Oryctolagus cuniculus: one gene and its partners. The protein of the gene in region 2 interacts with the protein of the main gene of each other region in a pairwise test. Links are inferred from orthologs where the notes say so. Each region holds a gene or a part of one and is shown on either strand. Other genes may lie near its edges. The genes, in order: LGALS8, TAX1BP1, CXXC1, TNFAIP3, GABARAPL2, microtubule-associated proteins 1A/1B light chain 3C and PLEKHN1.

Region 1 (3,500 bases), on a different chromosome or scaffold from region 2:
TCCCAGCTACTTGAGCTGTCACTTGCTGCTCCTTTGGGCACTTTAGCAGGAAGACAGAATCAAGAGCACAGCCAAGACTCCAGTCCTGGAACTCTGATATGGTATATGGGCATCCCAAGCGACACCTTAACTGCTAGGCCAGCTGCCCCCTAAAATTAGGATTTTAGTACGAAGCTAGGATGGAAGTAATTGAGAATTGTGGTATATACTTCTTATTTGGGTAGGCACTCAAGTGTTGGCTGATGCTTAGCCTCTCAGTTTGTGTGACAGTTACCCACCGTTCCTATGGAACATGAAGTGTGTCTGACTCTAAACCATCAAGTAGGGCAGTCATGAGATATTTACAAATATCATACACCAGCCAAGTGCATTAGAAAATAAACTTCCATATGCATCTTCTCTCCCTTTGGGAACAAGTGCAGTTCAAAAATTGCATCTGTGCTACTATTAATGGAGAAGTAAGGTCTTCCAATCTCAGCATATTCATACCTCACCAACAAAGAGTATAATCAGCATTTTGGGGGTACTTGGAAAGAACAAGTTAAATGTGTTTGAAGCTCACATGCAGTCCTGTGAAAAATTACTCACTCATAGTGGAGGATAAAGGACTCAGATCAATAGGGCTCTTAGAGTTCATTCCCAGCCTGAGTTGCCCTTTCCACCTCCATAGCACAGTCAGGAATCACTGTGTGTCACACCAGCAGAGAGTGGGCCTGAATGGCCCAGACCCTGGCCAGGCTCAGCTCATCACAACCAACAAGATCAGACTGCTCACATTATAAAATGTATGTCTTGTCTTTCCAGTGTTCTCATTTCTTGATTCTCCTCCCATAGGTGCAGAAGTCTGGCACGCCACAGTTTGTAAGTAGTTTTCTCTGAGTTCTTACCTGGGAACATTTTATAAAATTGCCTAGAAAATGAATAGTTGAACCTTGAAAGACAGCTTCATTCACTGCATTCCTTATTGTAGAACTGTTTCCCTACAGCCTAGTAATAGAGAAGGAGACATTTCTAAAGTCGTACCCAGAACTGCCTACACCAAGAGCAAAGATTCGACTGTCAATCACACTTTGACTTGCACCAAAATACTACCTACCAGCTATTTGTCAAAGGTTTGAAGAGCCACAGATTTTCTTAATTCTTTAGAAAAACTAAGTTTTAGGTAGCTGTTAAGTATAAACCCTACCCCCAAGTAGAAGCCCAAAGCAGCCACGCTGCATTTGTATGCTGTCCCTGGACAGACATGAGGGTCACTGGGTATATGTCTCTGGGCCATGGGCCTGTAGCTCCTCCACTCCTCCCAGCGTGGCTGCCCCCTACCCCTTCAGACCCCTTCAGGAACATGGAGCACTGCATCAGAGCCCAAGTGCAGGTGGCTCTCCCAGAATGAGTGTCACTTGGACAGAGTACATCAGGTCGCACTGTGTGTCCGTTCGTTTCCTCATTGAGAGCTTGCACTGACAGGCACAGCGCTACCACAAGGGATCCACCTGGGACCAAAGCAAGTTTGGTCTGTCCCCTCACGGGGTTCCAGGCTCCTAAACGTTCCCTGGTGCCCTCTGGACAGTTTGCCCGTGAGATTTTCCCTGCAGCCTTCCTTGTTCTGACTGCGACTTCTTTTTAGAGCCTGCCATTTGTTGCGAGGTTGAATTCTTCCATGGGCCCCGGGCGAACTGTCGTCATCAAAGGAGAAGTGAACACAGGTGCCAAAGGGTTGGTATCATCAACGTTACCGGTAGCAGTGCCAGTGCTTTCCACGTGTGCCTGTTACCGCCTGATAGCCCCTAACCTCCTGTGAGATAGAAGTCTAGCGTCAGATCCTCATTAGAAAGGCGAGACTGTTAAAGCAGGAAGACGTTCAACTGCTAACAACTACGTGGTGCAGAACCAGGACTGAAGTCCCGGGTTCTGACCTGCGCCTTTTCTAGCCACGCATGAGGATAGCATGTTTGTCCACAAGGCCCGCCCTTGCCTTGTGAGCTCTGGGGCAGCCTCATAAATCAGGCAGCTTTTCAGGGCAGCTCTTTTCATGTGACTTACAACATTTCTGCTTTAAGAACCTTTGCCAGAGATGTCCGGGCTTCTGAAAGCTTGACTTCAGAGCTGTTTCCCAGAAAGCTGCGTGCTTTCAAGAAGAGAGCACCTGGAAATGATTAAAAGAGAGTACCTGCCAGAAAGGGTCCAGTTCCTGCAGCCCGAAATAACCATTTAGTTTGGTAGCACAAAAACCTTCGATTTCTGCCCAAGCAGATCTCTGCCTCAACACTGATTTGAAGGTTGTTTTGTATTTTTATTTTCCAAGTAACATGGAATGCTGTCTCAGGAGTTGAGAATCTCACCTATATCCATATGCGTATGTGTTTCATATGTTTGTAACAGTAGCTCAAGTCTGATGATGAAAATTGCAGGAACAGACTATTCACACATTTGTGGTTAAAATTTGTTTTCCCTCCCTCTTAAAAGCTTTAATGTTGACCTGATAGCAGGAAAATCGAAGGATATTGCTCTACACTTGAACCCACGCCTGAATTTGAAAGCATTTGTAAGAAATTCTTTTCTTCAAGAGTCCTGGGGAGAAGAAGAGAGAAATATTACTTGTTTCCCATTTAGTCCTGGGATGTACTTTGAGGTAAGATGATATTTTTTGGAAATGGGCCAGGAAAAAGAATCTTGGGAGCAGAGATAGGATAAATGGCCCATTTAAATCAAATCCCAACTCAGGCGGATACTGTGGGCTGCTGTTGCTTTTGTTTCTTTCCTTGGAGGCTGTAATTTGAATGCTCACTTTTATAACATAGGCTGTTGGTATCAATGGCAAAATCAGTAGAGTATCACATTATTTGCATTGGAATTATTTGACATTTGATATATTAAAATGAGTTATCCCTATATTAAGAATCTGTTTTTATTTATTTATTTTTTTTTTTTTTTGAGAGACAGGGTCAGACAGAGCTCTCATCACTGTCTATTGGTTTATTCCCCAAATGCTGGAATGGACCAGAACTGGCTGGGGCTGGACCAGAAACTCAGTCTGGGTCTCCCATGTGGGTGGCAGGGACCCAAGCACTTGAGCCATCACCATCTGCTTCCCAGAGTGTGCACTAGCAGGAAGCTAGAATTAGGAGCGGAATTGGTTCTCAAACCCAGGCACTACTGTGCAGTGAGCATTCCAACTGGCAGCAGACCTCTGGGGGGACTCCTATCCCAGTGTAATAGGAATCTTGACAGGAACTTTCTCAGGACTGGAGTAACGTGTGTAATCACATGTGGACATGAGGACGTGGGGACCCTAGAAGTGCTTGCTTGTACTATCATCTCTCATCTTGGCTGGCTACAGTTCAGAAGTCAATCCTGTTAAAAACCAGGTACTTCACAAAATTCATGGAAAATAGAATGAAACGTTTAGTTTGATGCTGAAAAATTTTGAAATCCATCTATATGAGGGATCCTCAAAAAGTTCATGGAAAATGCATAGTATGGAAAAACTATTCATGAATTTC
Region 2 (3,500 bases):
CAACAGCCAGGGATGGACAGGCCCAAGCCAAGAGTTTATTCTGGTTCTCCCACATGGGTGCAGGTGTCCAAAGATTTGGACATGGTCTGCTGCTTTTCCCAGGTGTATTAACAGGGAGCTGGATGGGAAGTAGAGCAGCTGGGATACAAACCAGTCCCCATATTGGATGCTGACATTGCAGGTGATGGTTTAATCTGTTAATGTTACAAGGCTGGCCCCATGAACATTTTTGAATCATTCTTATATATTCTCTGCTGCTACTCTTTGTTTCTAAGAAGAAAAGCTAGCTATTTTTTAAACATTGAAATCAGATGAAGTAGATATCACAACAATGAAGCTGAAAGTTTCAAGACATAAAAGAATAGCAGGTATATTGATTATAGATTTTTGAGTGGATATTCTAAGGTGAATATGTTCATGTTCAGTAATATATATTGATGTATATTCATTTCACATTTGTTGAATGCCTCTTTTTTATAAGTCATTGTGGGGTATTCTGGAATATGTTATATGCACAAACATATAATAAAAATAAGTGTGCATCTGCCTTCAATCTCTGTATCTACCCTCATGTTTTTGAGATCTGATGTAGGAGATAAAAGACATGTGTATAAGAAATAGTAATGCAGAGTGTACTCTAATGGGCTATATGTGTGTGTGTGCACTTAAAGATTTGTTTGTTTATTTGAAAGAATTAGAGGTAGAGTCAGAGTGAGAGAGCTTCCATCTGCTGGTTCACTCCCCAGATGGCTGCATGAACAGACCTCACCCTATATCCAGCCTTTACCCAATTCATGTATGCAGCATGTTTTCTAGTTAATAATTGTCTTTTAAATGTATTAAATTTAGAATTGGAAAAAAAGTTCATTAAATGACATTCTCACCTCCATTCCTAGTTCCTAGATTTTTATACTGGTCATTCTCCAGTATTCTGCAGTCCTTCTCCCGTGGTAGAATACATTCTCACCTCTTCCATATGAGTTGGTTTTGCTCTAGTGAAGATACAGAAGGAAAGGATCTTCTGATAGAATAATTTTACATCTAAAATATGAAAAGTTTGGGTATGTTTGAGAAGAAAGGAGGCGGTCAGTTGGTATAATTTGTGAATAGCCGTAGGAAAGACATATTGAACATAGGTGCCAGAAACAATGTGTGGAATGAGAGATGGCAAGTGTTGCTCAATTACATTGAAATAATGTTAATTTTATAATAGAAAGTTTTAATATTTGTTTACTACCTCTTAGGGTACTACCTTCCAAATGATGATGGCGAATTTTATCAGTTCTGTTATGTTACCCATAAGGGTGAAATTCGTGGAGCAAGTACACCTTTCCAGTTTCGAGCTTCTTCTCCGGTTGAAGAGTTACTTACGATGGAAGATGAAGGGAATTCTGACATGCTGGTGGTGACCACAAAAGCTGGCCTCCTTGAGGTTGGTATTAACAATGAATCAGAGCTCATATTGGCTGGCATTTTAAGAATTTTCAGGTTAAGAGTATCTGCAAAAATCAAATGCTTTTCACTAAAGTAGTAAATGTATACTCTCTTTTTTAAAAGACCTAAAAGTCTTTTCATTACAATTATATGGCAGGGACTTTGTCCTTAGAGCCTAAGAGTATTTTGTGCATAGTAGATGATGCAGGAAACACCTACTGAGAGAAATTAGACATTAAGCATCCTTATGTTCCCTTACCCTTACCTTTCTTCTTTGGTAGCGTGATTTGTTGATTGTGGAATAGGATAGACTTCGGACCTCAAGCATGAGAGAGAGGATAAAAGTGAGAAATCTGATTGGATGTGAACTTTGCTTTATGAGCTATGAGTATGCTTTCTCAAGTGTGTCAAGTGAATACAAGTTTCTTAATTTAGATTGAACATTTTTAGAATAATTCTTTTTGTTCATCTTATCAAATGAATAAGCTTAGATTAACCATAATTTACAAGAAAAGGTGACAAGCTTTTCACTTTTTTAAAAATTGCATATTGTGCAGTTATGAGACTCGTTGTAGTATAAATGATATATATGCATATAGATGATCTAATAGTATATAGATGATCTAATAGTACTGCATTTCTTAAATTTTAGTAGTCATTGAAAGAGAATATAGAACTTTTTGTCATTTCACGATCATATTTCCCAACATCTTTATACTTAAAAAACCAGAATACTGGATTTGAGTTACTGTAATTGTGTATAGTGTTTTTTACTGTAAAAAGACAAATTTTTATTTAAAGTTGATTCAGTATGCATTTTGGGTAATGCACATCCATATTTTGTGTATTATAGGTCATTACTTTTTATTTATAATCAGATGGGTGACTTTTTTTCAAGTAAAATATTTTATGCTTTTGATTTTACTTTATTTACCTTGAAGAATGGAAATTAGAGGAAAAACAATTACAGATACAAATACTCTTATTAGACAGCCTTAAAGGTTAGAAGGAATCAGTCATTTTTATTGTGAATTTTTTCATATCTTTCCTTCCTCTTTCCAGAAATTCCTCTCTTATCTCTAATACAGAAATGTAACTTTTATGGGGTGACTAAAGCATTTTGTGGTGACAACTGCCTGATGATCAAGGTTTTTAGCCTGGTATTTGAATGTTGGCTATTCAGAAACAGACCTAGCTCTTAAGAAGAATGTAGTTAGTATTTATATTACAGCTTTTGGAATACTTAATAGACCACCCTGATCTCAGGGCCTCCAACAGACAAATTATGGGCATTTTGACATCCATGTTTATCTTCTGCTTTTCTCCAGTTCATAGCATGATCTATTTCATTTCTTTCAATCCACAAAGGGTACTTTATAAAGAAAATTTAAGTTGCAGTCTCTTGAGTAAATATTTCTGAGATAAACTTTTTATTTTTGACAAGTCTTTTATGTTTCCACATTCATGAAAATTTTAATGTTTTTATCTAATACACAAAATTAATAGAAATGTGAGACATTATCTGAGTCCCCGTTGGTGTTAAAAGTGATTAATGAGACGTAGTCCTGCAATGTGATCCTTGATTAGATAGCAGATTTAGAAGGGTAATGTAGGATGTTTGTGATCTATCTACTGGATGATATAAAATTATTATTATTATTATTATTTTTTTTTTGACAGGCAGAGTGGACAGTGAGAGAGACAGAGAGAGAGGTCTTCCTTTTGCCGTTGGTTCACCCTCCAATGGCCGCCACAGCTGGCACGCTGCGGCCGGCGCACCGCGCTGATCCGATGACAGGAGCCAGGTGCTTCTCCTGGTCTCCCATGGGGTGCAGGGCCCAAGCACTTGGGCCATCCTCCACTGCCTTCCCGGGCCACAGTAGAGAGCTGGTCTGGAAAAGGGGCAACCAGGAAAGAATCCGGTGCCCCGACCGGGACTAGAACCCGGTGTGCCGGTGCCACTAGGTGGAGGACTAACCTAGTGAGCTGTGGTGCCGGCCGATATAAAATTATTCTTAATTTTCTTACCTACAATAATAGTAGTGATTTAAAAGAGACTATCCTTA
Region 3 (2,390 bases), on a different chromosome or scaffold from region 2:
TGCATCACTGCCACAGTGCCTGGGGCCTGGCTGTGTGCGCGCTGCCCAGCCCGGCTCCAAGTATTGCTCGGATGACTGCGGCATGAAGCTGGCAGCCAAGTAAGTCCTTCCTGGGAGGTTCAGCAGAGGCAGGGGTACAGGCTAGGGCGTGACCCGAGTCCTCTGTCTGCCAGTCACCTACCCACCATTCAGTTAGCCCAGTGCCCACCTACCCGCCTGCCCCATTTAGTCACCCATCCAGTGGTCGTCCCTCGTCTCGTGGCTGGCAGGTCCCTGCCTGCAGCCCACTCACTGCCTCTCTGCAGCCGCATCTACGAGATCCTCCCGCAGCGCATCCAGCAGTGGCAGCAGAGCCCCTGCATCGCGGAGGAGCATGGCAAGAAGCTGCTGGAGCGCATCCGCCGGGAGCAGCAGAGCGCCCGCACCCGCCTCCAGGAAATGGAGCGCCGCTTCCATGAGCTCGAGGCCATCATTCTGCGTGCCAAGCAGCAGGCTGTGCGCGAGGATGAAGAGGTGAGCGCACGCGCCCAGGAGCGCGGGGCCCGGCACCTGGTCCCCACCTGGCCTCACAGTTCCTCCTGCCCCACGCAGAGCAATGAGAATGACAGCGACGACACAGACCTGCAGATCTTCTGCGTTTCCTGCGGGCATCCCATCAACCCACGCGTTGCCTTGCGCCACATGGAGCGCTGCTATGCCAAGGTCGGGGTGTCAGCCTGAGGGGGCGGATGGTGTGGGAGCCCAGTGAGCCTCGAGGGACGGCCGTGTTGTCTGGGTGGTGTCCTGGGTGGGCGTGCAGCGCACATCCAGTTCCCTCCTTTGTGCTCATCCCTCCAGTATGAGAGCCAGACGTCCTTCGGGTCCATGTACCCCACCCGCATTGAAGGGTGAGTGCAGGGTGCTCTGTGGAGCTGGGGCAGGCCATGGGCGCGGTAAAGGATAAGGGGGCCTCGGTCCTCCTTTCTGGCCGTTACCGTGTTGATTCCAACCCCCAGGGCCACACGACTCTTCTGTGATGTATACAACCCTCAGAGCAAAACATACTGTAAGCGGCTCCAGGTGCTGTGTCCTGAGCACTCGCGGGACCCCAAAGTAAGCATTTCCTCAGCCCCCACCTGCCTCCCCTTCCCTGTTCTTTGCTTCCTCCCTCAGCTCCTGTCCTTTTCCATTTCCTACCTGGCCACTCGATTCCTCCCCCAGGAGTGCGCCCCGCTCCTGGGCTCCTCACCACCTCTGCATCCCCTCCCTGCGTGTCCCTGCAGGTGCCAGCCGACGAGGTGTGCGGGTGTCCTCTTGTGCGGGATGTCTTTGAGCTCACAGGTGACTTCTGCCGCCTGCCCAAGCGCCAGTGCAATCGTCATTACTGCTGGGAGAAGCTGCGGCGAGCCGAAGTGGACCTGGAGCGCGTGCGCGTGGTAGGTTGGGTGCTGGCTGTGGCCAGGGGCCCGCAGGCCCGCAGGCTCCTGTGACTTCTCACGGCTCCCTGTGTCCTTCGGCAGTGGTACAAGTTGGACGAGCTGTTTGAGCAGGAGCGCAACGTGCGCACAGCCATGACAAACCGCGCAGGGCTGCTGGCCTTGATGCTGCACCAGACAATCCAGCACGACCCGCTCACCACCGACCTGCGCTCCAGCGCCGACCGCTGAGCGCACCGGCCCAGGCCCGCCCGGGCGGCCTGCTCCTCCGTTTGTTCGTTCCTCCTTCGTCTGTTTCTTCAGCTGCCCCCAAGTTTCTCCCTGTGCCCAGCCAGCACCTGAGTGCCCATCTGCCCCTACCAGGGGGTCTCAGACTGCGTCCGTCGGTCTGTCTCCGCTCTTGTGCTGGGTGGGACTGTGAAGTTTGCTCACCCTTGCCTCCCGCGGTTTTGTTAATAAAATTTTGAAGCAAGAAGAGGACTTGCTTGATGTGTGCGCACTGTGCAGGCTCCCCACGCAGTCCCTGGCGGGGGCGCCCACTGGCGGCACAGTGTGGCTGCGTGTCCAGACCAGCTGTGCGTGCAGCGGCCGACCCGCTCCTGGAAAGTGATCAGGAGCCCCCGCCGGCTCTCCGCGGTCAGCGGTCGGCGCAGGGCTCGCCTGGGGCGGGGCTGCCACGCCCCCCACGCCCCGGCTACCTGCCATGCGGCACCGACCCCTCCCCTGGAGTTGGGGGTCTGCGCGCCCTGGGGCAGCCAGCGCGAAGGCTCGACCCCAGCTTCCCTCCCTTGCCGGTGACTCCCCGTGGACAGCGGAGGAAATGGAGAACCCAGACCAACCTCGCTGTCCACGCCCCCTCAGGCTCGGACTGGCCCCGGCGAGCGCAGGCGCAAACTAGATGGCCCCCCGCGGGCCGGACCAGCCGCCCGGGGGAGCGAGTCGCGCAGGCGCGCGGGTGCCCGACGGGGAGGCGAG
Region 4 (3,445 bases), on a different chromosome or scaffold from region 2:
TGCTGCCGGTGATGCCAGCATCCCAAATATGAGCACTGCTTGCAGTCCCAGCTGCTCCACTTCCGATCCAGCTCCCTGCTAATGCACGAGGGAAGCACCAAAGGATGTACCTGGGCTTCTGCCACCCACTTGGGAGACCAGGCTGGAGTTCCAAACTCCTGGTTTTGGCCTGACCCAGCCCTGGCCCTTGCAACCACTTGGGGAGTGAACCAGTAAGTGGAAGATTCTCTCTCTCTCTTTCTCTGTCTCCCTCTCTCTGTCACTCAAGTCTGCAGGAAGATCTAAGGGATAAAAATCCCATTCACCTTATCTTCCCAGATTGGAGGGACTGCTATTGATTTCCTTGAACTAAGTATACTTTAGAAGTCATTTTATAAAGCAGATAAAATCTGCCATAGAATAAAACCTCTTCAAGCTTCCAAAAAGCCAGGTAGTAATCCAAGATTTCTTGAATTGTGGCAGAAACACAGACATCGCAAAGGCAGGCTTCTTCAACGATCCTTTATCACAGGGAGAGAAGGCAGAAGCCAGGGGATTCCGCTTAGCGGCCTCAAAGCAGGCCTGCAGCTAGCTGTAGAGCGGTAGGAATTGGCTAAGTAAGCACAGCCGGTCCTCAGTCCCGATAGAAGAGAGGTGGGCCGGCTTCACTGCCAGTGGTGGTGGGCTTGACCTCCCCAGGGCGAGGTCCAGTTTCCTGGGGATCGGAAGGCCATGTCCAGCTCGCTGACAGCACCTGCCCGCTGCTCCCTTGCAGGGGTGTGGAATCTGCTGTGTCCAATGAGATCTTGTGCCCTCCCTTTGAAACACGAGCCACAAATCTGTCTGTTCTTCCCACCCAGAGATCGAGCCAGCGCAGAGACGTGCCCCGAACCACACAGAGCAGCTCCAGGCCTAAGTGCGCCCGGGCCACCTGCAGGAACATCCTGGCGTGCCGTAGTGAGGAGCTCTGCATGGAGTGCCAGCACCTCAGCCAGCGCGTGGGCTCCGGCGTCCCCCGCGGAGAGCTCGCCCCCGAGGAGCCCCCCAAGCAGCGCTGCCGGGCCCCAGCCTGCGACCACTTTGGCAATGCCAAGTGTAATGGCTACTGCAACGAGTGCTTTCAGTTCAAGCAGATGTATGGCTGACGGGAAACAGGCCAGCTGCCGTCAACGTGGTGCTATACTCCAGGCCTCCAGAGCCCACTGGAGGGGCAGTGCCCGCCACGGGGAGTGGGCTCAAGCGTGGCTGAGCAGGGAACGACAGATAAGCTCTTCATCCAGGCCGTGATGGGGATGGGCTCGGGTTTGGTGACCGGGGCGTCCACCCAGCAGAGCCGGGGACTGGATCCTCCCATGCCACCATGTGGAAGGCCCGGAGCATCTCCGGACCCGGACCCTGCCCATCGGGACTGCCTCGTCGTCTTGTTGAGGAAAGGGAGAGCTCACCCAGGCGGGTGGGCTGGGAGAGCCAGGGCCTCGCCCCCTGCCCTGTCACCACCCCACTCAGAGGGGGGAAGCTGAAGCCTCGTGGGACAGAGGCCCTCTGCCCGAAGCTCAGGGAGACGCCCACGTCCAGAGAGTGTCAGGAGTCCACCGTGTCCCCACCTGCCACGTCCCCTTCCCTGTGAGCCGGCCAGAGAGCAGAACGGACTGTGACGGAGCTGCTGGGACCGACGCTGTCAACGATGGAAAGGAAGCAAGCTGCTCTTTACAACGTGCACCTTTGAAAACTCAGAATATTTTAGTGGGAAAATGTGTAACTCTCTTGGTTATCATTGTCTGCTGAAGAGGTTCGCTTGAACCAAGGTGTGTGTAAATCTGTGTACATAGGTGATACACCCTTATGTATGAGGGATTTTTTATTATTATTAATAATAGAGGTATATGTGGGAAGACTGAATAATAATAACCTATTTTCTGGTTGTTGCTGGGGCACCACCTGTATACACAGCTTCCGTGAACTCAACCAGCTGCCTTTGGAAAGGGAGCACTCCAGTTGTGTCTGTGTAATCCGCTTTATTTATTTTATTACCAATGTCAAGATTATTTAAATGAAGCTGTTTCCTCAGCTCTGGGGAAAGGCTGCAGTATCTCCTGTGAGATAGCATCTTTGCTTTGGTCGCGTTCCGGACCCAGGCGAGCTCCTGACCACAGCAGGGAGTGGAGCTGCCTGCAGACACCTTGCTGCTTGCCTCCCTTGGCGAGAAGGAATTGTATCAGGAGGAAATCCATTCGAATCTCATGCCTCCCCCTCTGATTTGCTAAGAAGTTGTCCTGTGTTATGGGTGCTTCTGAGTATCCTACCTCCTTGGAGATATGATAGGCAAGAAGTAGGCATGAGATGGGGAGGGCGGTCACAGGGCAAGATGTGACTTTTCGTCGTGGTTTCATTTGCTGTGTTAATGCTGTGTCCTGGGGTTTTAGGCAGTGGCCTTGAGTCCAGCCGTGGGACACAGAAACCAAGTAGGAAGCAAGAGGATGAGGATGTGTGTGTGTGTCATTGGCCTGCAGTTTCTCTGTGTGCTTTGTGTTATTGTCATTGTTACTCAGAAAAAAAAAAAAAAAGAAAAAAGAGGGAAGTGTGTTTCTCCCAGGGGTAAAGGCTGCCAGTTTTGGGGTCTAGAGTCGTCACCCCAAAATATCTGTGATCCATAACTCTACATAGCCTTCCCTCGTGTTACCTGACATGTCTGTTCGCTGATGTAAATCTTTATGATTTCTTGCTAAAGATGTCAAAGAAACATCAGTGTGTTCACCTAGTTCCTTTAAAGTTGATAGCCTAATATTTTGTCTATCAATATTTTCTTTCTTAATGTGAAAAGAAATGGAATTATTTATACTCGCTATAGAAAATATTTGAAATTTGCACATTTAGTTGTCTCATACTTTGTTGAATTCCTTGGTTTTCCCGAATAAGTGTAACTTTCACAAGAGTCAATATTAAAAAATAAATTATTTAAGAACATATTTTGATGTTTTTTTATTGATGAACACTGAAACAAAGCCTCAAATATGAAAACAGCTTTCTAAGCAACTATATTTTGGTGTACATTTGGGCAAAGAATACTTCCCTCATCCATGGATAGTGAAGTTGCTTTAAAAAAATGATACGACTGTGTGAGGGTAGGGCTGTGCTGTGACAGACTGGCTGTCCCTCGGCAGCATGGTCACCAGTGTAGCTGTATTGAAAGGGGAGGACCCACCTTGAAGAGGTTGGATCTAGTGCCAGCTATTGGGGTGTAGTAGGTTAAGCTGCATCCGGAATCAGAGTGCCAATTCAAGTCCTGATTGCTCTGCTGGTGAGCCAGCTTCCTGCTAATGCTTCCTGGGAGGCAATGAATGCCTGGGACCCTGCCACCCTATGAGGGACTCAGATGGAGTTCTGGCTCCTGGCTTTGGCCTGTTGCAGCCCTGGCCATAGCAGGCATTTGGGAAGTAAACCAGTGGGTGAAAGATCTCTGTCTCTC
Region 5 (4,002 bases), on a different chromosome or scaffold from region 2:
TGAAACCTTGTTTGGGTCACTAAGGGAAGATGTGGCCAGGAATTCACATTCAGCAAAAAGGTGGGTCCAGAATCTGGCTCCAGGCCTAGAAGTGCCCAATCAGTAAAGGCAATGGAGTGACCAGGAGTTTAGACTGAGCCAGTCCCTGTGCCCCATTCCAAGAGGACTAAGGCTGGCCTGTCAGTTATACCAAAGAGGGGAACTGTGACAGCCCTGCCTAGATTCAGGCCCCAAGTCACAACTGAATCCCAAAGGCGGCTTCCAGGCAGCACAGCACTGTGGCAGTCAAAGCAGGAGGTGCCGAGGCCGGTAAAAGAGCGCAGAGAGCCCTCAGAGCCTTTCCTGAGCAGCAGCCGTTTCCTCAGGCACGTCACATGCCTCGTGTTTATAAACACACTTGTAAGAATAACCTCAACTGAGCAAGTGGCTGCATCGAGTGAACTGGGGCCACAAGTGCTGGGGGCTGGGCGCTCGTCTCACCAAGGCAAAGAGCTGACGGAAGTGAGGAGAAGCAAGCAGGTGATCAATTGAAGCTGAGCCCCAGGAGGCCCAGAGCTCCTGACAGAGCAGCAGGGGCGACCTCACGGTCCCGTGAGAAACCTCGTCTGATACCTTGTTCTACCTACGGCTTAGGCCGACCTGCGTGCTCGACTATTTCCCAGTATTCTTGGGTGGCTGAGCCTGGGTTTTTCTTTTTCTTCCGTCTAGGCTTCGTTCTATTTTCTTAATCCAAAGTGCACTCCCATTTATGGCAGCCCTTTCTTGTTTTCCTGGCGCTCCTGGTGTCAGGGACCATAAAACCCAGATTCCAGGCAGATCCCGAGGCCTCCCAAGGGTCTGGTGGTGTTAAGCAGCCGGGCAGACGTCCCCCTCGGAGGTCTGTGTGGCAGCACCTCACCTGGACTGTGGGACTGTCTTATCCACGAACAGGAAGATCGCCTTTTCAGAAGGGAGCTGGATCCTCTTCCTGATGATCCACATGAACTGAGCCACAGTAATGTCAGATGGAACCAGGTACTTCCGTTTGTCAATGTCGACAATCTGGGAGCCTGAGACTTTTTCCACAATCACCTGGGAAAGTAAAGAGAAGTCAAGACTGGGTCTCTTCCCGTGAGGCTCTTCCCCCACACTGGCGGGGCACTGATGGGCAGAGTGTGGGCAAGGAGCTGGGTGGGAAACAGCCGAGCATGGCCAGACCCCGCCGGCTCCAGCAGCCACACGATCTGGACGTCAGGAACTGCTACACATCTATTATGGGGAAACAGTAAGTGCTTCTCTGTGGTCAATTAAGCCTCTCATCCTGATCGCGGCATGCCGAAGAATCAGCTACCGAGGCTTTCAACATCTCATCTGGGCAGATCTGAGAATGCCTGGTGGGTGTTTCCTGTACAGCCGCTTCCTCCAGGACCCCAGAGTGGACCCACCTCCACGCTGCAGAACTGAGGGCCCACGGACACAGCCGGCAAGCACGGGCGGGCCGCTGGGCTGCCTGGCAGGCTCCTCGGGTGGCCTGTCGCTTCTCTGAACAGCTTTCGGGTCTGTGCCCTCCCCAGGGGAACCTCTCCAAACCAACACGGACCACAAACTACAGGCGCGAATGCATCACTGACTAAAAGGAGACCCGGGAGAAGGGACTCCCCGCAGCTCTGCAGCATCCTCGGTCAGGCAAGACGACATGGTCCCCGTGCACAAGAGGAACGAGAAGTCCGCGAGCCCGACACGCAGAGTGAAAGACTGCACGTCCCGAAACCTAAGGGCCGCTTCCAGGACCACGGTGAGTCGCTCCGCCACCGTTCCCAAAAGTGGCAGTGACCTGTTGCCCTGTCCTAGAACATCGTTCCTTACGTAATTGGCCAGGGAGCCCTGGGGCTGTAGACAGCTCGCTGGCCCAGATCGGGAGATTCAGCACTGAGGCACCTGAACAGCACCAGCCCCAGCCCCTCGACCCCGGCCGGGGGACCGCCGGCCACGCCAAGCGGGGTCCGGAACCTCAGCTCACCCAGTGTCGCACGGCTGGGCCCCGTCGCCGCTCCCGGGCAGGGGACAGGGGAGCCAGCAGGGCGAGGGGGCGGGGAGTCCCACACTCACCGGAACCCGGTCGGGGTATTTCGCTCGGATCTTCGCGGATTCCACGCATCTGTGTTCTGAGAGAGAAACACACCGGGCTGACGGCGGCGCCTGCCCGCCGGGCCGGTGCCGGGCCCCAGGCCCTCGCGGTCCTCCTCCCCCGGCGACCTGCGCAAGCCCCGGCCCTCGTCCGGTGTCTCCGCGACCGCGGTCCTCTGCCCCCGGGCTCCCGGAGGAGGGGCCGCAGAGGGCCGCACCGGGCCAGGGGGCGGCTGCCCACGACGGCCCGGGCCCTCGGCGACCCGAGCCCGGAGCGCAGCATCCGCCCCGCCCGACCCGGCCCAGGGCGGCCCGAGTGGGGGAGGGGGCCCACCCGCCGCCCCCACTCCCCGCGGGCCGGCCGGCCGGCGGCCGAGAGCTTACCGAGCGAGTGGTCCTCCTTGAACATCCACTTCATGGCGGCGGCAGCGAGGGGACGCAGCCGGCTCTCGGGAGCCGCGGAGTTCAGCGAACCGACCACAACAACAACGACGGCAGCGACTACACGGCAGGCGGGACTTCCGGCTGCCGGAGCCTAGCAACTGGCAGGGGCGGGGCTTCCGGCGCCGCCCGCAGGGTCGCCGCTCCAGGGGGCGGGGCCGCACTAGGGGCGCAGGGGGCGATCGGGCTGTGGCGCTGGTGGCAGGGGTGTCTTGAGGGCTACTGGCTACTGGGTCGGGGGAGGACTGCTGGAGGACCTGTGACGGGGGTGGGGCGCCAGGGCGTTGGTGACTGATACGGAAGACTTTTGGGGGCGTGGCTGAGAGGCTAGGGCTCTTAGGGTTGTTCATAGGGGAAGTCTGGGACGGTGCTGACCAGAAGGGTATTTAGGAATATGAATGACAGAAGAGTGGTCTCTTGTTAGGGCGTTGACAGTTTGGGGGATATTTGCAGCGGTGAGGGGTGGGGGACTCAGCATAGGGGAGTGTTGGCAGTTTGAGGGCTGTGTGTGGGGAGGGGAGCTGATGACGTCCAGGGGGTCTTGCACTGAGGTCAGCCATGCTAGGTTACCTTGAATCCAGAAATCATACAGGAATCCCATTTCCTTCCTTGATCCACGAATATACGTGTGGATGCATATGGAGGGTGTCACAAATGCTTGTGTGACATCAGCGGCCACACAGCGATCCCTTAACCTTCACCCAGCAGGGAAGTTAGAGGTGACTGCCAGGCCGGAATTCCTCTGAGTGCTGGTCACGGGGCAGGTTTCCTTGTTGGGCAGTGGGAGTGGCTTAGCAGGCACAGCCGGGCCCTCTGTGTCACCTGCCTGCACGTAGCCTTGAGGTTCTCCACTCAGCGATGTGATTCCTTTCTTCCAAGCAGAGTCACCAGGGCAGGGTGTCCTGGGTCACCATCTGTTTATTAGCTGGTGAACATGTGACCGGAACATTCATCTAATTGGGCACATGACCCCTGCTACATGCTTGTGATTCTGCTGCATCCAAAAGGCCTGTGTGTTTGAATAATGTCATCCATCACTTCCTACAGATCGAATTCCCCACGGATGCTGTGGAATGCAGGGTTCAGTCTACAAGTATTTCTGTGCATTTACGGTTGCGTGTCTCAACAGCCAGAAGAGGGTTTGTTAACGAAGTGGAAAATCCTTTGAGTTTCATACTTAGAAACTGGTGCTGCCGCTGCAGCTCAATAGGCTAATCCTCCATCTAGCGGCGCCGGCACACCGGGTTCTAGTCCCAGTCGGGGCGCCAGATTCTGTCCCGGTTGCCCCTCTTCCAGGCCAGCTCTCTGCTGTGGCCCGGGAGTGCAGTGGAGGATGGCCCAAGTGCTTGGGCCCTGCACCCCATGGGAGACCAGGAGAAGCACCTGGCTCCTGCCATCAGATCAGCGCGGTGCGCCGGTCGCAGCACGCCGGCCGCGGCGGCCATTGGAGGGTGA
Region 6 (4,097 bases), on a different chromosome or scaffold from region 2:
TAAGGTATTCAAAATCATAATTAGTAAAGTGAAATCACCTACATAAGATCAGAAGTTAAGGTGAATGTAGTGGGAGCACCACGCCTGGCACCAGCTTTGCATGGTGTCGGAGCCCAGGCCTGCCCCTGAGAATCCCAGTGTAGGATGGGTCCCACCTCAGTGTAATCTGACCGAGTTGTCTTGATCCCTGCAAGGTATGCTTCCCACCTGGCCTTCCAACCTGCAAGGCAACTGGGGAGATTTAAATGAAATCCAGACTTGAAAGATGCTTGGCCCCAGAGTGTCACACACCTGCTTTGTATTATGCACACCTGAGGGGCTGCCTCCTTTTGAAGAACAAGTGAAACAGCATGAGGTCAATTTCTCTCTTCAGTGATGCTGTCAGTTAAGCACCTGCTGCCTATTCCTGATCTCTGACCTAAAGCCCTGAGACTCACCCTTCCTTTCTACTCAACCTGCAAATATGGAGAACATATTTCCCTCCTCCACTCTATTGTGTATTCACTTCAAAACTCTTCACTGTTCCATGACTGCTGGGAAGTCAGAGTATACATAAGCACTCTTCACGACAAAGGAAACGTAAACCTGCTCACTCAGAATCTGAAGGGCTCCTTGGATAGGCATAAGAATCTGGAAGCAAGCTCTGAGAATCAAGAGAGCCACCTTCCGCCTGCTACTCCATGTTTGATCCCAAGGCAAGAAAATTACCTTCTGTGTGCCTCTGCTGCTCACCTCACTTCTTAAAGATCCTAGAACGGTCCCTCCTTCCTGCCACTATTGCAGAGAAGATAAATGACACCACATACTGTCATGTATGTCTACCTTGTGCCTCAGCTGGGTTCTAATCCCAACTGCCTTCTCACTAGCTATTGTGGCTTTAAGCAAATCACTTAAGCTTTCTGAATACAGGGGTTTGTTCTTTGAAAAGCAGCAAAGACTGCCTTGAGAATTATGGAGCACATTTCAGAGAGAGGCAGATTTATCATGGACTCACCTCAAGCTGGTTCATTACTGAAGTGCAAAAACAACCGTGGCATAAGGCAGTTCCACCTCTCTAAAGTCCTCAGCCCATACCTCGGCTGTCAGAGTGTGCATTCCAATGATTTCATCATGAACCCTAATTTCTTTAGCAAAGAAACATCTTGAACTGGTCAAGAGCAAAGTGACTTTCTCTGACCAGCAAGCAGGTGGCCATTCCATTTCCAGCCTCAGCACTGACCTCCTGCTGCCCAGGAAGGGGGAGTCGAGAGAAGGGAGGGTCAGGATTGGCCTGATGTCACTCAGCCCTATTTAAAGCCTCCTTTAGGCTCCTGCAGACAGCGTGGATGCAGCTGGGGGAATGAGTTGTGGGTTTTTTTTTTCTTTTTCCCTTTAAAGACCAACACAGACACAGCTGTTGAGCAAAATGCCGCCTCTACAGAAAAACCCAAGCCTCAGACCCTTCAAGCAGAGGAAGAGCCTAGGTAAAGCTCTGGGCAGCTCTCTGGGTAACTTGAGAGGCAGGAGAGGATGCATCTTTCTCTAACTGTCCACTTACTCTTTTCTACCTGAAATCTCTACAGCAACCAGACAAGAGGAAGTTGCTGGAATCCGGGCAAAGTTCCCAAACAAGATCCCGGTAAGACTCACTGTCCTTCCCCAGAGGAGCCTGTATCTGTTCTTTGAAGAAACAAAGATCAAACAATGGCCTCCCCCTCTCTTTCCCAAGTCCCTAAGATACTGGGGGCTCTGAGTCACATTCTTAGGCACCTGCCTCAGGAGAGACCCATGCTAATACTCTTGGCAGGTGATAGTGGAGCGCTACCCCAGAGAGAAGCTCCTGCCCCTGCTGGACAAAACCAAGTTCTTGGTTCCTCAGGAGCTGACCATGACCCAGTTTCTCAGCATCATACGGTAGGTGACACAGCGGACATGTGTGTGTGTGTGTGTGTGTGTGTGTGTGTGTGTGTGAGAGAGAGAGAGAGAGAGAGAGAGAGAATTAGAGAATTTTGCAACTATCTGTAAGTTTGCTGCATTCTTTGGTTGGAATGTGGGTATTCCAGAAGAAAAGGGGGTTGAGATCTTTTGGTGACTCACTCATCTTTTAGATTCTGTTGTGCCCTAAAAAGATGCTGTGAGAATTATTCTATTTTAAACAAGTGGGGAGAACCCCTTAGACAACAAGCAACAGACTGCAAGAGCTGCCGACATTTCGAAGAATTCCCTAGAGTAGTTCTGGCTCTCGAACTCATCCAGAAGATCCTTCTTCCAGAAACTGTGTGCAAGCCAGTCTGCGTGTCCCTGGCAGAGAGCAGCAGCTTTCCTCAGGGTTTGTGTTTCTGGCAGACGGGGAACTGTTTGAAAAGCAAAAGGTCCCTGCCCTTCTTAAAGCTTAAGAGGGTTAAGTGGTGTCGCCTGATGCATGAGTGCAATTAGAAAATGATTTGTGAGTAAATACAGCCAGTGACTAAGTCCTCACCAGGTTGAAAAGTCTGTTTGGAGGCTGAATAGCCACTGTTGCCTGTTGCTTTGAGGGCTCACTGTGAATGAATGAGTGTCTTCATTTTGTTTTGTTTCAAAGAGTTGTCGAAGTTTCCAAGTTCATTGTGAAGACAGATGCCTAAAGAGATATCAAAGTCGGGAGGAGATCCCATTGTATCAGTTAATCATTAGGTGACCCCTTGGGGATGGAGAACCCTTTTTCCTCTTCCCAGTCACTGCTCCTGGCTCCCAACCTACATCCTCATCCTCATCCTCATCAATGTTTATTGAGCACCAACTGTATTCTGTGTGTCTTCTGGACTCTGTAGAGCCAACTGTGAACAAAATAGACAATAATGCCTGTCTGTGGCCTTCTCCCCCTTGGGGATGCCCAAACACTCATCAAAAGTGAGTTTGCGAAATGAAGGAGATGAGTGCAAGCTCGGGCACAGGAGCTTTTCCAACCCAGCCAAGGGCAGTATTCCCATCCCTAGTTCCACTCTTCTTCCACCCCCACCCCACTGCAGAATGGTTGCTTTTCACCCAAAGGCACTGGGCAATAGCCAGAATGAATACCTTTGGTATTCTTTTAGGAGAAATTACCTGAGTATAAACTGAATCAGATTCCAGTCACTCCCCATGTCCCATTTATGTTTGATCTTATCCCACATCGAGGCTCAAAATTCTGAGAGTGCAGTGGGAAATTGTGTCTGTTTCACTAATTAGAGCAAATGGAAGTGTGTGAAAGGTGAGACTGAGCCTTCCTGTAGGCACCTATATTGATTCACTGTCAATCACTGCACACTGAATTGGAAGTCTGTTTACCCTTGACATTTAAAGGATGTCCAACTAAGCCTTGCTCCTTCTCCATCTCGTCGGTGGCAGAGGAGAAATGGCAAGGGAAGGGAAGGGCACACTTCAAGGCCTTTCCACCCCTGTTTAATTGTGAGACGCTGGAAAGATAATGTATCATTCTTGCACCCTTGGGGAAATAGCTTTCTTTTTTTTTTTTTTTTAAGCTCAGCATTTACTTGGGGAAGCAAGAGAAATAAACAGGAACTTAAGGGTTTTATTAAGGGAGGAGGGGATCAGAAAGATAAACTAGGAGTTCCATACCAGGCAGAGAGCATAACGGGGGCCATGTGCAGGAAGCTACAGGCCAGAAACCGCGTGGGCAGGAGCAGCAGCACAAACAGGTGGCCTGCATGAAGCCCACAGAAAGCAGGGAAGGGGGGGCAGTGTTCTCCATGCCTCTTATTCACTGGGGAAATAGCTTTCAACGAGACCTAGGACTTATTTGCTTAGCATTATTGTGTTGGTATTCGCCTTAGTTAAAAATGGAATGGCCTCATCCTTTGGGCCCAACTGGGAGGCCCTGAGGATCTTAAAGTTCCAGGAACAGCTGTGGGCAATTCAGTTGTCTTGCACATCCTGAGCCTTCAGATTCCTAAGCTGATTCCCAGGTCAAGTCTCTCACTACCCTTCTCCCCTTCCCAGGAGCCGCATGGTCCTGAGGGCCACCGAAGCCTTTTACCTCCTGGTGGACAACAAGAGCTTGGTCAGCATGAGCATGACCATGGCAGAGATCTATCGGGACTACAAGGACAAGGACGGCTTTGTCTACATGACCTATGCCT
Region 7 (2,378 bases), on a different chromosome or scaffold from region 2:
ACAGGACTGACCTCATTAAGGCTGCGGACATCCATGATCTTGCGGTGGGAAGTGGCAGGGGGTGTGTAGGGGTCGGCATAGAGTGGGGAGTGTGGTGCCTCCACTGGGGGCTCTCCCTCCAGGCCCAGCCTGCTCACCTACGGGAAAGACAGCCTCAGTCTGAGAGACAGTGGCCAGCAGGCGGAGTGCAAGGGAGCCGGGTAGGACTGCACGCTGGGCCCACCTTGCTCAGGTCCAGGTGCAGGTGCCGTGGTGCGGCTGGGCCCGGCCCTTCCACCCAGGCCTTCCCCCTGGGTAACCGGCTGCTGCCCGCACGTCTCAGCTCTGCTCTCCGCCAGCCGATGCTGGTGCACTCAGGGTTGGCCTGGTCCTGGGGAGACTGAGAAATTTCCCCAAAGTTCCGTGGGACCCTCCCCACACAAGTCCCTGAGGATGTCTAGAGCACCCTCCAGTTCAAGCTCCCCCCTCCGAGGAATCCAGTCCAGATGGGGGAGGACCCAGGCCCCTCCATGCCTCATGGATTCCTGACCCCCTGGAGTCCTCACTCAGGCTGGACAGCACCAAGCCCTTGGGGGCAGAGTGTGGCTGGTGAAGGTAGGGGGCTCGTGGAGGATCAGGAGCGTGAATCTGGGCCACCCCGTGACCCGGGCAGGAGGGCGTGGAGCCAGCTGCCTCGACCCCTCTCCCCACCTTACCTATGTCTGGTTCCGCCCTCTGCCTCTGGCTTTTACCACTGTCCAGGACCTGGCTGCAGGGTCCCTGTTGACTTCTCACCTGCGCAGGCCCCAGGGACCCCAGGACATCCTCAGGGCCAGACAGCAGGGGGGCCCCATCCCGGCGGGAGACTGCCCGGAGGCAGAGCAGCCAGTGGCTGTAATCCTCGTAGCTGGCACACGCCACACGGATGGTGTTGATGAGGTGGCCTGCATGGACACATGAGGCCAGAGCCTGGCAGGGCGGGTGTACCACACAGGGCCCGCTCAGCAGAGCCGGGGCCCCAGCAGGCTCTGGCCTCCCGCCCGTGGCCCCGCCAGGAGGGGCAGGGTCCAGATAAGCACCCACCTTCGATCAGGAAGGAGCGGATCTGTTTCTCCTTCTCCTCCAGGTTGATATGGATGGCGCTCAGGGGGAGCTCTCCCTGGGGGGCAGTGACTAAGGGCAGGGCCTCCATCCTGCCATCTGGAGCCGGGCTGGGCACTCAGCCTGGCATGGAGGCTGAAGGAGGCCAGGCTGCCCCCTCCCACCCAGCCTCCTGGTGGGGCCTCACCACCCCATGGGGCCGTGGTACGGCAGCCCCTGGGTGTGAGTGCAGACCGCCAACAGGCTTTGGCCCCAGAGGACACGCGCACACACACACGCATACACACACACACGCCCCTCAGGCGCCTGGAAGACATCACTCAAAGGCACCTGGAGTGAGCCCCACCCCTGCACCCGTCCCAGCACGACAGACCGCTGGCTGGGCACCCTCCAGAGTGAGATGGGTCACTCAGATCAGGATCCTCTCTCCCCACCGGAACCAAGACCAGACTTACTGACCAGGGCAGTGGGGCCTGGTGGGCAGGGCCCGTGTGCTCTGTCCCAACAGGCCCCGAAATACAGGTTCCTCCTGAGTTGCTGCCCCCTCCCACCCCCACACACCGGGCGCCTCCCTGGGTGGCTCCACCACGGGTGGGAGGGGCCTACCTTAAAGCTAAACCCGTCTGGTTCCTCCGAGAAGATGGCCAGGGACGCTGGGTACAGGACCAGGAGCCGGTCCCATTGCTCCTGCAGGGGGATCAGAGAGGATTCTGGGCCCTGAGTGGGGCTTGGACCCCACACCCACACCCTCCTGTCCCCTCCTGCCCACCTGTGAGGGCTGAGGGGGCCCGCCTACCTGGACCCTCCCATCCCCTCCTGTCCACCTGTGAGGGCTGAGGGCTTTGGCGCCCCCACCTGGACCCCCCCGTCCCCTGCTGTGCACCTGTGAGGGCAGATGCTGCAGCTTGACCCTGGAGGCACAGATGGGGGCACCTGCTGGTCCCGGCCCTGGCGCTGTCCGCAGTCGGGTCAGATGTTGGTGCAGTGTCCAGGGGGGCTCGTCCCCAGGGGGGCTCTGGGGAGAGGGAGGTCTAGGGCAGGCCAGGCAGGGGTGGGGGTGGGGAACAGGTGCAGGGTTTCCTGGCACTGACCTGAGGTGGCGCGGAATGGCAGCGGGGCAGCCCCCTGGCGAGGGCCATCTGCTTCTCCAGGTGGAACAGCCAGCGGCTCAGCTCAGCCTCGCCAGGGCAGAGCACCAGGAGCGGGGCAGGCAGGGGGCCTGGGGAAGGGGGCAGAGCAGGCTGGGTGGGCTGAGCCTGGAGCCCCCAGACACCTGCAGGAAAGACCCGGGACCCTGG

What was found.
Region 1: the proteins of TAX1BP1 (region 2) and LGALS8 interact in binary tests that used the Homo sapiens proteins (3 or more experiments, as listed by UniProt). The link is inferred for Oryctolagus cuniculus from reciprocal best matches to the Homo sapiens genes TAX1BP1 and LGALS8.
Region 3: the proteins of TAX1BP1 (region 2) and CXXC1 interact in binary tests that used the Homo sapiens proteins (3 or more experiments, as listed by UniProt). The two-hybrid records come from large-scale screens. The link is inferred for Oryctolagus cuniculus from reciprocal best matches to the Homo sapiens genes TAX1BP1 and CXXC1.
Region 4: the proteins of TAX1BP1 (region 2) and TNFAIP3 interact in binary tests that used the Homo sapiens proteins (3 or more experiments, as listed by UniProt). The link is inferred for Oryctolagus cuniculus from reciprocal best matches to the Homo sapiens genes TAX1BP1 and TNFAIP3.
Region 5: the proteins of TAX1BP1 (region 2) and GABARAPL2 interact in binary tests that used the Homo sapiens proteins (3 or more experiments, as listed by UniProt). The link is inferred for Oryctolagus cuniculus from reciprocal best matches to the Homo sapiens genes TAX1BP1 and GABARAPL2.
Region 6: the proteins of TAX1BP1 (region 2) and microtubule-associated proteins 1A/1B light chain 3C interact in binary tests that used the Homo sapiens proteins (3 or more experiments, as listed by UniProt). The link is inferred for Oryctolagus cuniculus from reciprocal best matches to the Homo sapiens genes TAX1BP1 and MAP1LC3C.
Region 7: the proteins of TAX1BP1 (region 2) and PLEKHN1 interact in binary tests that used the Homo sapiens proteins (3 or more experiments, as listed by UniProt). The two-hybrid records come from large-scale screens. The link is inferred for Oryctolagus cuniculus from reciprocal best matches to the Homo sapiens genes TAX1BP1 and PLEKHN1.

Annotation. Positions count from the first base shown.
Region 1 is NC_091444.1:61,220,607-61,224,106, reverse strand, and holds part of LGALS8 (galectin-8), read left to right. Parts: intron 1-834; coding exon 835-861; intron 862-986; coding exon 987-1,112; intron 1,113-1,624; coding exon 1,625-1,713; intron 1,714-2,463; coding exon 2,464-2,629; intron 2,630-3,500.
Region 2 is NC_091447.1:19,339,193-19,342,692, forward strand, and holds part of TAX1BP1 (tax1-binding protein 1), read left to right. Parts: intron 1-1,244; coding exon 1,245-1,432; intron 1,433-3,500.
Region 3 is NC_091441.1:27,830,371-27,832,760, forward strand, and holds the end of CXXC1 (CXXC-type zinc finger protein 1), read left to right. Parts: coding exon 1-99; intron 100-305; coding exon 306-513; intron 514-591; coding exon 592-702; intron 703-837; coding exon 838-887; intron 888-995; coding exon 996-1,092; intron 1,093-1,262; coding exon 1,263-1,415; intron 1,416-1,499; coding exon 1,500-1,646; 3' UTR 1,647-1,890; downstream 1,891-2,390. UniProt on the Homo sapiens protein: Transcriptional activator that exhibits a unique DNA binding specificity for CpG unmethylated motifs with a preference for CpGG.
Region 4 is NC_091436.1:30,955,108-30,958,552, reverse strand, and holds the end of TNFAIP3 (tumor necrosis factor alpha-induced protein 3), read left to right. Parts: intron 1-839; coding exon 840-1,124; 3' UTR 1,125-2,945; downstream 2,946-3,445. UniProt on the Homo sapiens protein: Ubiquitin-editing enzyme that contains both ubiquitin ligase and deubiquitinase activities.
Region 5 is NC_091449.1:57,942,871-57,946,872, reverse strand, and holds the start of GABARAPL2 (gamma-aminobutyric acid receptor-associated protein-like 2), read right to left. Parts: upstream 2,801-4,002; 5' UTR 2,525-2,800; coding exon 2,491-2,524; intron 2,145-2,490; coding exon 2,089-2,144; intron 1,072-2,088; coding exon 899-1,071; intron 1-898. UniProt on the Homo sapiens protein: Ubiquitin-like modifier involved in intra-Golgi traffic. Modulates intra-Golgi transport through coupling between NSF activity and SNAREs activation. It first stimulates the ATPase activity of NSF which in turn stimulates the association with GOSR1.
Region 6 is NC_091444.1:55,581,969-55,586,065, forward strand, and holds the start of microtubule-associated proteins 1A/1B light chain 3C, read left to right. Parts: upstream 1-1,297; 5' UTR 1,298-1,405; coding exon 1,406-1,463; intron 1,464-1,562; coding exon 1,563-1,618; intron 1,619-1,786; coding exon 1,787-1,893; intron 1,894-3,957; coding exon 3,958-4,097.
Region 7 is NC_091438.1:164,379,296-164,381,673, forward strand, and holds part of PLEKHN1 (pleckstrin homology domain-containing family N member 1), read right to left. Parts: intron 2,300-2,378; coding exon 2,172-2,299; intron 2,096-2,171; coding exon 1,964-2,095; intron 1,768-1,963; coding exon 1,687-1,767; intron 1,139-1,686; coding exon 1,063-1,138; intron 924-1,062; coding exon 775-923; intron 380-774; coding exon 224-379; intron 138-223; coding exon 12-137; intron 1-11. UniProt on the Homo sapiens protein: Controls the stability of the leptin mRNA harboring an AU-rich element (ARE) in its 3' UTR, in cooperation with the RNA stabilizer ELAVL1.